Oryzias latipes: one gene and its partner. The protein of the gene in region 1 interacts with the protein of each later gene in a pairwise test. Links are inferred from orthologs where the notes say so. Each region holds a gene or a part of one and is shown in the gene's direction. Other genes may lie near its edges.

Region 1 (4,122 bases):
AAATCATGTTCAAAGTGCTCAATTCTGTCTTTTAAAATCACTTCCTAAACTCTTTTATGCAGCAGATACCCAAAGAATCCCTTTCTCCTAGGTTTTCATTGACACACGTTGACACCAAAGTCCTTTCGTTTGAACCAGTTTGTGTTGGTCGTGTGATAGTGGCATTAAAGTCTGCTGTGCAGAAAAAAGGCCCTCCAGGTGTGAATGCAGATATCCACTGTGCCTGAATCAGGAGGAAATAAACAAAGAGTGAGTTAATATTATACCCAATGATGAATAAAAGAAGTTTACAGCACGATGAAGTTTATGGTTATGTGGCTCCTTCTAATGCAAAGTTTAAGTAAATGCGTGTTTTGGGCGTCTCGCATCACGCATAGCTATAGGTTTTTGTGTTCAAAACTTGCGACCATTGACTGTGTGTGATGAAAGGTTAACCAGGTCAAACTTTGACCAATCAGGGACTCGGATTTGGTAGTGATTTGGCGTTGTAAACGTCGCTTCAGACTCAAAGACCCACCCCAATGAAAGTGGGGTTTTTAAATTGTTCTTGTGGCATTTTTCGGACAATGGAGAACACATATAAAGAAAATTCAGCTTCAAATTGGGGGGGATCCCGAGCACAGCTGTGTCACCGCTCCCCCAGGGGATGGGTCAGAACATGATGTGTATAAAAGTTTTGTGAATCTGGAACAGACAAAAAAAATGCCATCTTAGAAAGCTTGTAGCTGTGACACGGATACTTGTGACCTAGAAAATACACTGGGCGGGGCCACAAACTCACTGCTTTGCTGCATTTTGATGCATCCGCCTGTAGACCAGATCCATGTAGGCTACATCTTTGTTTTACTCGTCCGAGCTGGCGTCTGGCTCAAAGCCGGTCAGCACCAATATTTGTTGCACTGATAATGTTAGGTTGTGTGGGGCTGTAAGCTAGCAGGAGAGCATGTAAACAGAAGGGTGATGGGAAGGGGGGCCTGGGTAGCTCCGCACCAGAAGTGTTTCCTACAAACTTAGAGGTGAATTTTTAATGAACTGCTGCTGCTTTGCAGGAACTACGTCCACGAAATCAACACAGGTTTTTGAATTTTTTTGTCTAAAAACAGCATAATCGTCACTAAAAGACCACCAGGAACGCTTTGAAAATAGATCAAAAGATGATCAAAGTGGGACTTTGAGTCTCACAGGCACTTAACATGATCAGAATGTATTTCTATATAGTTAAAAAGTTATAAGTCTTGTGATTTCTGTGCGCGTGTGTTTGTCTTGCTTGTTTTCTAAAGCTTTTGTGCTGCTGGCCCTCTCGTGGTTTCTCGCGATATCTCACAGCCTCCAAGCAGGAGTGCCCGTAACTTGTCACCAAAGATGGCGATTTGCTGAGTGCTCATGGATACACACATTTCTCGGCTAGTTGTTATCTTACTCAAAACGCGAACCTGAGACACAGACTGACTTTTTTTTCCTTTAGTGCGCCGCTCTTTTTCCAGTTTGAAGCACACCGGACGCCGCCATGCAGATCACTCTGAAAACGCTGCAGCAGCAGACGATTCAGATTGAAATAGACCCCGAACAAACGGTAAGTGGCTAACAGCTAACTGCGTTAGCTTCCAGCACCGGAGTTGTCTTTTAGCTCCGCGTGCACACCCGACAGCTCCATAGAGCAGGTACAGTGAAAGGAACTAACTTTTATCACATCGAATTAATTTCTGAATTGTGTGAACATTTAAGCCACACAAAAAATGCTTAAAATTAAGAACACACCTGTTCCTTTACGCGCTGAAGCTACCTCGCTAAGCTAGGTTTCAAGCTAATGTTGCTAAAATTAACAGAGTCATTGGGCCGCCACCTGAAAGCTGGTTGTCACTAGTTGAAGTTGCTGACAGAGGATTGTTGCGGCCTTTTTGGCTGTGAATATATGAGGTAAAACCACCAACATGTGTGAATCAGAGACGCTCAGTCAGTGCGCTGGTGGTGACGAAGGATGATGCGCGTGCTCTAAATGCTCATCATGACACTGCCAATCACGCCTAGCTCCTGATAGATAGCCCAGCTCTGGAAGCCTAGATGGATTGGGTTAACTTCTACTGTTTAGATGTCTAACAAAAGTAAAATACACGCTGGTGCTCCAGATTTGGCCTTTTTCGCATGGAGGCGGCTGGGGTGTGGCTTTCAGGTGTTGAGGATAGGCTGCCTCCGGGTAGTCCGACCATCATGTCTGCCCTCTTGTGTGTCAGGTCAAGGCCTTGAAGGAGAAGATAGAGGCTGAACGAGGAAAAGACAACTTTCCTGTTTCTGGGCAGAAGCTGATATACGCCGGGAAAATCTTGCAAGACGATACGCCAATCAAAGACTACAAAATCGATGAGAAGAATTTTGTTGTAGTGATGGTATCCAAGGTGAGACTGCATGGTCCAGCTTTTTATCTTTTTTTATGTGTGCAGCGGACTCGCGTCTGGATGCAGTTCCTCTGACGTTTTCATTTGTTTTCTGAACACGTTAGGCTAAGCCTGCAGCCACGACCTCGGCACCAGCCCCGGAAGCCCCCAAGCCCCCCGCACAGGACTCTGGCTCCACATCAACCGCTGCCCCGCCTTCAAATCCTCCTGCTGCACCCACCCCTGCAGCTGTCCCTATTCCTCCTGAGGAGGCCAAACAGGAGCAAAGTGCCGAAGCCACAGAACCACAGCAGCCCGCCAGGTAACAGGCGTACCGCCACGCTCGCCGGTGTCAGCTGGTAGAAAAGGGAGACGAAATGGGGAAAGAAGTCACTTAAATCTGAGCGGGTTTGTACGATGACTTAGCATTTAATTCAGCAGAATGCAGTGAGTTCGGCTGTTGTTTTCTTTATAAACAAAACAAAAACAAACATCATTTTGTTGTTTTGCGGGATTCAGACACTGACGTCTCCATCATAGTTACAATGACTTTGCAAATCATTTACAAGATTTTCATAATATCCTTAACTTTTGTATCACATTTTTTACTTAAATCGACAATTAGATTTAAAGGAAGTGACTATTTCACCGTAATTAGGGCAGGGCTTATGGTTACAGGTAAGGTTAGGGTTCAAATACGTGCAGCAATGTGTATTTGGGCCACATGGTTTTCGTGTGATCCACATGTTTTTCCATCAGTTTTTGTGCTGGTTGCACGTAAACGCCTGCGAATAACATCGACCATATTTAAAACAATTACCGTAATTTCCGAACTATAAGCCGCTACTTTTTTCCTGCGCTTACAGCCGTGCGGCTTATTCAGTGACGAGGCTAATTTATGGTTTTATTTGGCGGCCGCCATGTACGTACTTTCGGACACAGTGAATGGTTAGAATTCTCTATCTAACACCAAGGGCAAGTCATTTGTTTTTCAATACACGTCTAGGCAGCCAAACAGCATGGACCTAACTTCAGGTCTTAGACACTTCAGTCATGGTTCCACAAACGAAACACGCATGCCCAGCCGCATCCCAGAATCCTTTGGTGCCATTAGACCCAACGTGCACGTGATCGCCACTGCAATATGATGAAGCTTTCAAGTTAAAAGCAATCGTTAGAAGCAGCGTGAAAAAATCCACCATCACACTTACTCTGGGAGGCAGGACGTGATTTGTCAGGATGACAATGTTGCCTAATACATGCGGCTTGTACTCCGACGCGGCTTGTGTATGTAGAAAAGTAGTTAAACACGTGAAAATGGGTGGGTGCGGCTTGTAATTGGGTGCGCTTTGTAGTCCGGAATTTACGGTACTTTTCCGGAACTTATTTCAGTGAAATGAACATCTGTCCAATTTTTTAATCTACATAAAAACACTTTTACTGTATAGATTTATTTACTTCGGGGGACAGAAGCGCTTAAAGTTCGTTTAGTTTCTAAACGTAAAATCCAACATTATTCAGTAAATTTAGAGGGATGTCCTGATCGGGGTTATTTTTTCCAGTCCAATGCGAAACGACTCAGTCGGCCTGATTTCTGCTCACGTGATCAGATCTGGACATCACTAATAACTTCTCTGCTGTTAAACAGGGGCCTCCAAAGTTTTCAGAGTAGGAGGCTTCTAGGAGGGAAAGCAGGAGGCTACCACCCGGGCGGTGAAAGCAGGAGGGGTTGATTGAGTGGAGGCTAAAC
Region 2 (4,209 bases), on another chromosome or scaffold:
GCTTAAACAATGAACAGAAAATATGTATTGTCAAACAGCACCCTCTTGTGGTCGTAATAATGCCTAAAATACCACACAATTTTAAAATAATGTTTTACTTTTTGTTTCATGATTCACTGAGTTGTTTTTTTTTTCAACATCTTTTCACTTACTGTTTCTTGTTTCTCCAATGTTGACAGTAGTACTTGTATCCCTTTAGTGTAGTAACCTACAGCCTCCAATCCGGTGTGGATTTGTCCAAGGTACATGTATTTACTGTGGCCTTCATCTGGACTCAGCTCCACTGCACGAAGGAAAACTTAGAGGAAACTAGTCAAGGAGAAGAATTATATCGAAAATAAAGAGAAATATAAGAGCTGTGTCTCTGTGACTTAGGATTAATACATAAATGCAATATTATTTATAAGAAAAACAACATAAAAAATGATAGGATATTCCTTTGGCTTTCTGTGTGTCTCCCAACTCAGAGCAGATGTGTCCCTGCATGTCAAGTGCTTGCAGGTTGTTGGGGTCCACATCCAAGGCTCGCTGACAGAAGAGGCCAGCCATCTCAAAGTCAAAGCTGTCCATGTATTCTTCAGTCTGTACAAATGCAGTTAAGACCAAATTATTCCCCGTAGTAAAGTAATATTTAAATAAACAAACCCGAACATGCTCACAACATGACCTTCTCAAGTAGTTGCTCCACTGAATATTTCTGGGATGTCTTCTTCTTAGCTTTCTCGTGCATTCTTAGCTTCATCCTTTCTTGAGGTGACAAATCAACAAATCCTCCAGCATCTGCTGTAGTGACAGGCTTAGTGTTAGTTTTGTCTAACTAGAATCCCATAATAGTCAAAGCAGGTAATATATTAGGTTATTTTCTTATGTTAGGTACCATCCAGTCCACTTGTAACGAAATGACTACTTTGTCCTGTACATATTACCCTTTTTAGTTCGATGGTTTTTCCTCTTCGGTTTGTTGTTCTTCTTACTGCTCTTTGCCTGACCTCCCATGTCTAAGGATAATCGGTTTTATAGATTTGCAATGTGATTGTAAATCCGAATTTTCCCCCAACGTGAGAACAGAGCAAAAGCGTGTTAACACACTAGGCAAATGCTTGAAGTGCGCATGCGGCAATGTTGACAAATTAACCACTACGGAGGCTGGTAGTGGACATTTTAGTGCCGTCACGACTTTGCTTAAGTCACCATTTTATTATGAGTCTTTTTCAGTAGTACTACTCTATCTTGAGTCTTTCCTTATTTATTCATTCTTTGAAAAAAATTAAATTATCACTAATTTTCAGAATTATCTTTCTCTCTGTTACGTAAATGTGGGCAGGTGTTCGACTTTATTGACATATCATTTGACCAATGAGCTAACAACTTGGCCCTCATGATGTCAACCAATCGGGAGTTACGTACAGATTTACGTACGTACGTTTCCCCCCCACAGTTTGCTGTCAGTAAATATACGAATGACGGAAAAGTGGCATTCGGTGGTAATTTCAACAAAAATATATTCACAGAGAAATTCTGACAGCTCGACTTTTTACCGAGGTGACCGAAAATTCTACATCTGGACTTAACTGTTTATTTGTAGTCGCTACTGATTAATGGGAAGTGAATGACACAAAGCAACGGTTAGCTGCTGGTAGCGTTGCTGCTAATGCTAGGCTGGGTTATTGCCAAAACAGCTTTACATTTTTAATTATTATTGTTAAGTCGCGAATTATTTTAAATTATAGCAAACCAGGGTGCTCTTAATTTTTATAATCAATTATTTTGTGTCTTCAAATGTATGGTTTACCGTTTGGTGGTTGCATGCAGCTCTTCTTAGCTGTTAGCAGTTGATGAAGCTAGTTTCAAACATTCATTGCAGAAAAATATTATTACGTTATCAGCCGTCAACAGTTCCACTGCACTTTGACATTTGAGGTCTGACTTAATCTTTAAACTGCTTCCGGGTGATAAACCAATAGTAATTTGTGTTTTTCACCTTTTTAGCTATAGGTTGATTTGGCAAAGTTGATGTCATCCCTACTCGTGCGTTTGGTGCCAGTTTAGTCTCAGGAGTGGCTTGTGGCAGATGTCACAGGCACAGCCTTTAAAAAAAGTGGATTATAAGAAGAACCGAAATAAAACATGTCAGAGCTGAATAAAGAGGTGGTGGACTTGGTCTGGGGGAGGACTTCTGATGGAGGTGTGTCAGCCTCAATCTTTCGAAGATGGACCCAAGGTATGATCATGTATTTGAATGTCCTAAAATGAACAATAATGTTTATTTGATAAATGGAATCATCAATGCTTTGACATTTTCCCTCCTGGTTTCTAGCTGATGGAGGAATTTCTCAATATTACTGAAAATCATTACCGTTTCCTGCTTATGTTTGGATGTTTTGTTGAAATCCCTCTGAAACTCAAATTTAATGTGGGCCCTTCTTGAAGTGGAGGTGTGAGTGCTTCTTACAAACTCAGAAAATATCAAAGTAAGTTTTCTTTTGTACCTTATTTTCTCTCCCGTTAAACAGGGTTTGTTTTTAGCGAGTATGAACCCACAGCGCTGGAGCAGTTTGAAGGAGGACCATGTGCTGTAATTGCACCTGTCCAGGTACTGTCTTGTTGCTTTATCAAATCAAGATATAAAAGTTTTTTTGGAACTTGCCATTGAGTCTGTCCTTACACAGTCTGAGAGGGTTTTTTTTTTTTTTTTTATACAGGCTTTTCTTTTGAAGAATATACTTTTTAACAGAGAAAGCTCCAACTGGAGACAACTACCAGGTAGATTATTAGTGGGGGAAAAAAACATTCAAGCTACAAATTTTGGTGTTACTTATGTAGTTTTGTTACGTTTTCATTTCAATTAATCAACATTGTCTCTATCTGTTTAGAGGAAGAACAGAAAACAGCCCTGTGTTCTACGTTGAGTGAAATTCTTGAGTCAGCCTGTGCCAGCCTTTCAACTGGGTTCTGCATTGTGACCTGGGCTAAGGGACATTCCCCAGACACTGGCAAACTTACTGCAACAGAGCCAGAGTCACAGGTACAAACACAGGACAAGCCCGAAAGCAGCAAGCCTCTGCAGGAGCAGCAACCCAGTAAGTGCTGTGTCTATCACTTTCTAGCATGAGATGCATGCATTAATTTAGTGCCCACTCATTTACTGAGGCGTTGTTTTATGTCAAAAATGGGGGGGGGGGTATTTTGTTATGACTAACCTTTTCAAGATTTTGTTTTGCTTGTTAAGAGATTGTGTGTTCTCTTTTGCCTAGCTTATTCGGTTGCTGAGGATCTTAGCTTTGAGCGATTTCACAGTGTTCTCCAGTAAGTGACACTAAGTGTTCTAACATATGAAGCACTTTGCATCTTGGCAGCTGAATTCACCTGATGTGATCCTAATATTGAGTAATGCATTGTGTTTTCTATAATGTTAAGACCTCGCACATCATTCTTTTACAGTTACATGTATTAAACTTTTTCACCATGCTAAAAATTTGATGACTCAGGACTATCCTTGATTACCCAGTATGAAAAAAAGATACGTCTTATACAGTACACCATGTTTTTAGATGGTTCACCCAAGTGAAATAAATGCAGTCTGAGATTTGTAAAAAATCTGTTTTGACTTAAAACACAGAGGGGCTTGGTGACTTTGATGGACAGCTCTAACATCAAGATTTAAGATTCCTCTGCAAACCTGTAGAATATGTTTTCTTTTCTGTTACATTTAATTAGTCTACATTTAATTTTTATCTTGGTCTCACATCCTAAAGGACTGACTGATTTGTCTTAATTGTTGTTGCAACAAATACATACGCAATGAAATTGCCCATTTTTTAGATGAGGAGAAATCACATGGGGGAAACAGTGGTGGCAAAAAAAAAGCCTAGCGGATCTGACTTTCTTGATGAATTAATTTCTGTATTTATTGTTCTTTTGAACCTACAGTTGATTTTTATCTTTCAGCAAACGAACCATCCTGTCAGCATCAGATCTGAGAGAAGAGGTGTTGTCTCTCTACCACTCCTGGAGGGGGTGCTGTGGAGTTTTACTTTTCCTCTACTCCGTCATCCTCACCAAGGTAAAAATGTTAATTCTTCTCTAAAAATGATTGCAAAATATTTTTGTTTGTTTGTATGTGTTTTTTTTTTTTAAAAAAAAACATTAAATAGTAATGTTTTGACCTTCAAGAGGATTTTGCATCAATATTCTGGTTTCTGTTTTTTG

Evidence for each region.
Region 2: the proteins of rad23a (region 1) and mindy3 interact in binary tests that used the Homo sapiens proteins (3 or more experiments, as listed by UniProt). The two-hybrid records come from large-scale screens. The link is inferred for Oryzias latipes from reciprocal best matches to the Homo sapiens genes RAD23A and MINDY3.

What each region holds. Positions count from the first base shown.
Region 1 is NC_019866.2:22,942,520-22,946,641, reverse strand, and holds the start of rad23a (UV excision repair protein RAD23 homolog A), read left to right. Parts: upstream 1-1,322; 5' UTR 1,323-1,507; coding exon 1,508-1,573; intron 1,574-2,231; coding exon 2,232-2,393; intron 2,394-2,497; coding exon 2,498-2,694; intron 2,695-4,122. UniProt on the Homo sapiens protein: Multiubiquitin chain receptor involved in modulation of proteasomal degradation. Binds to 'Lys-48'-linked polyubiquitin chains in a length-dependent manner and with a lower affinity to 'Lys-63'-linked polyubiquitin chains.
Region 2 is NC_019874.2:16,911,209-16,915,417, reverse strand, and holds the start of mindy3 (ubiquitin carboxyl-terminal hydrolase MINDY-3), read left to right. Parts: upstream 1-1,409; 5' UTR 1,410-1,542; intron 1,543-1,989; 5' UTR 1,990-2,127; coding exon 2,128-2,221; intron 2,222-2,513; coding exon 2,514-2,593; intron 2,594-2,702; coding exon 2,703-2,763; intron 2,764-2,873; coding exon 2,874-3,080; intron 3,081-3,254; coding exon 3,255-3,306; intron 3,307-3,948; coding exon 3,949-4,063; intron 4,064-4,209. Other genes in the region: probable assembly chaperone of rpl4, read right to left, coding at 153-299, 436-582, 668-783, 927-996. UniProt on the Homo sapiens protein: Hydrolase that can remove 'Lys-48'-linked conjugated ubiquitin from proteins.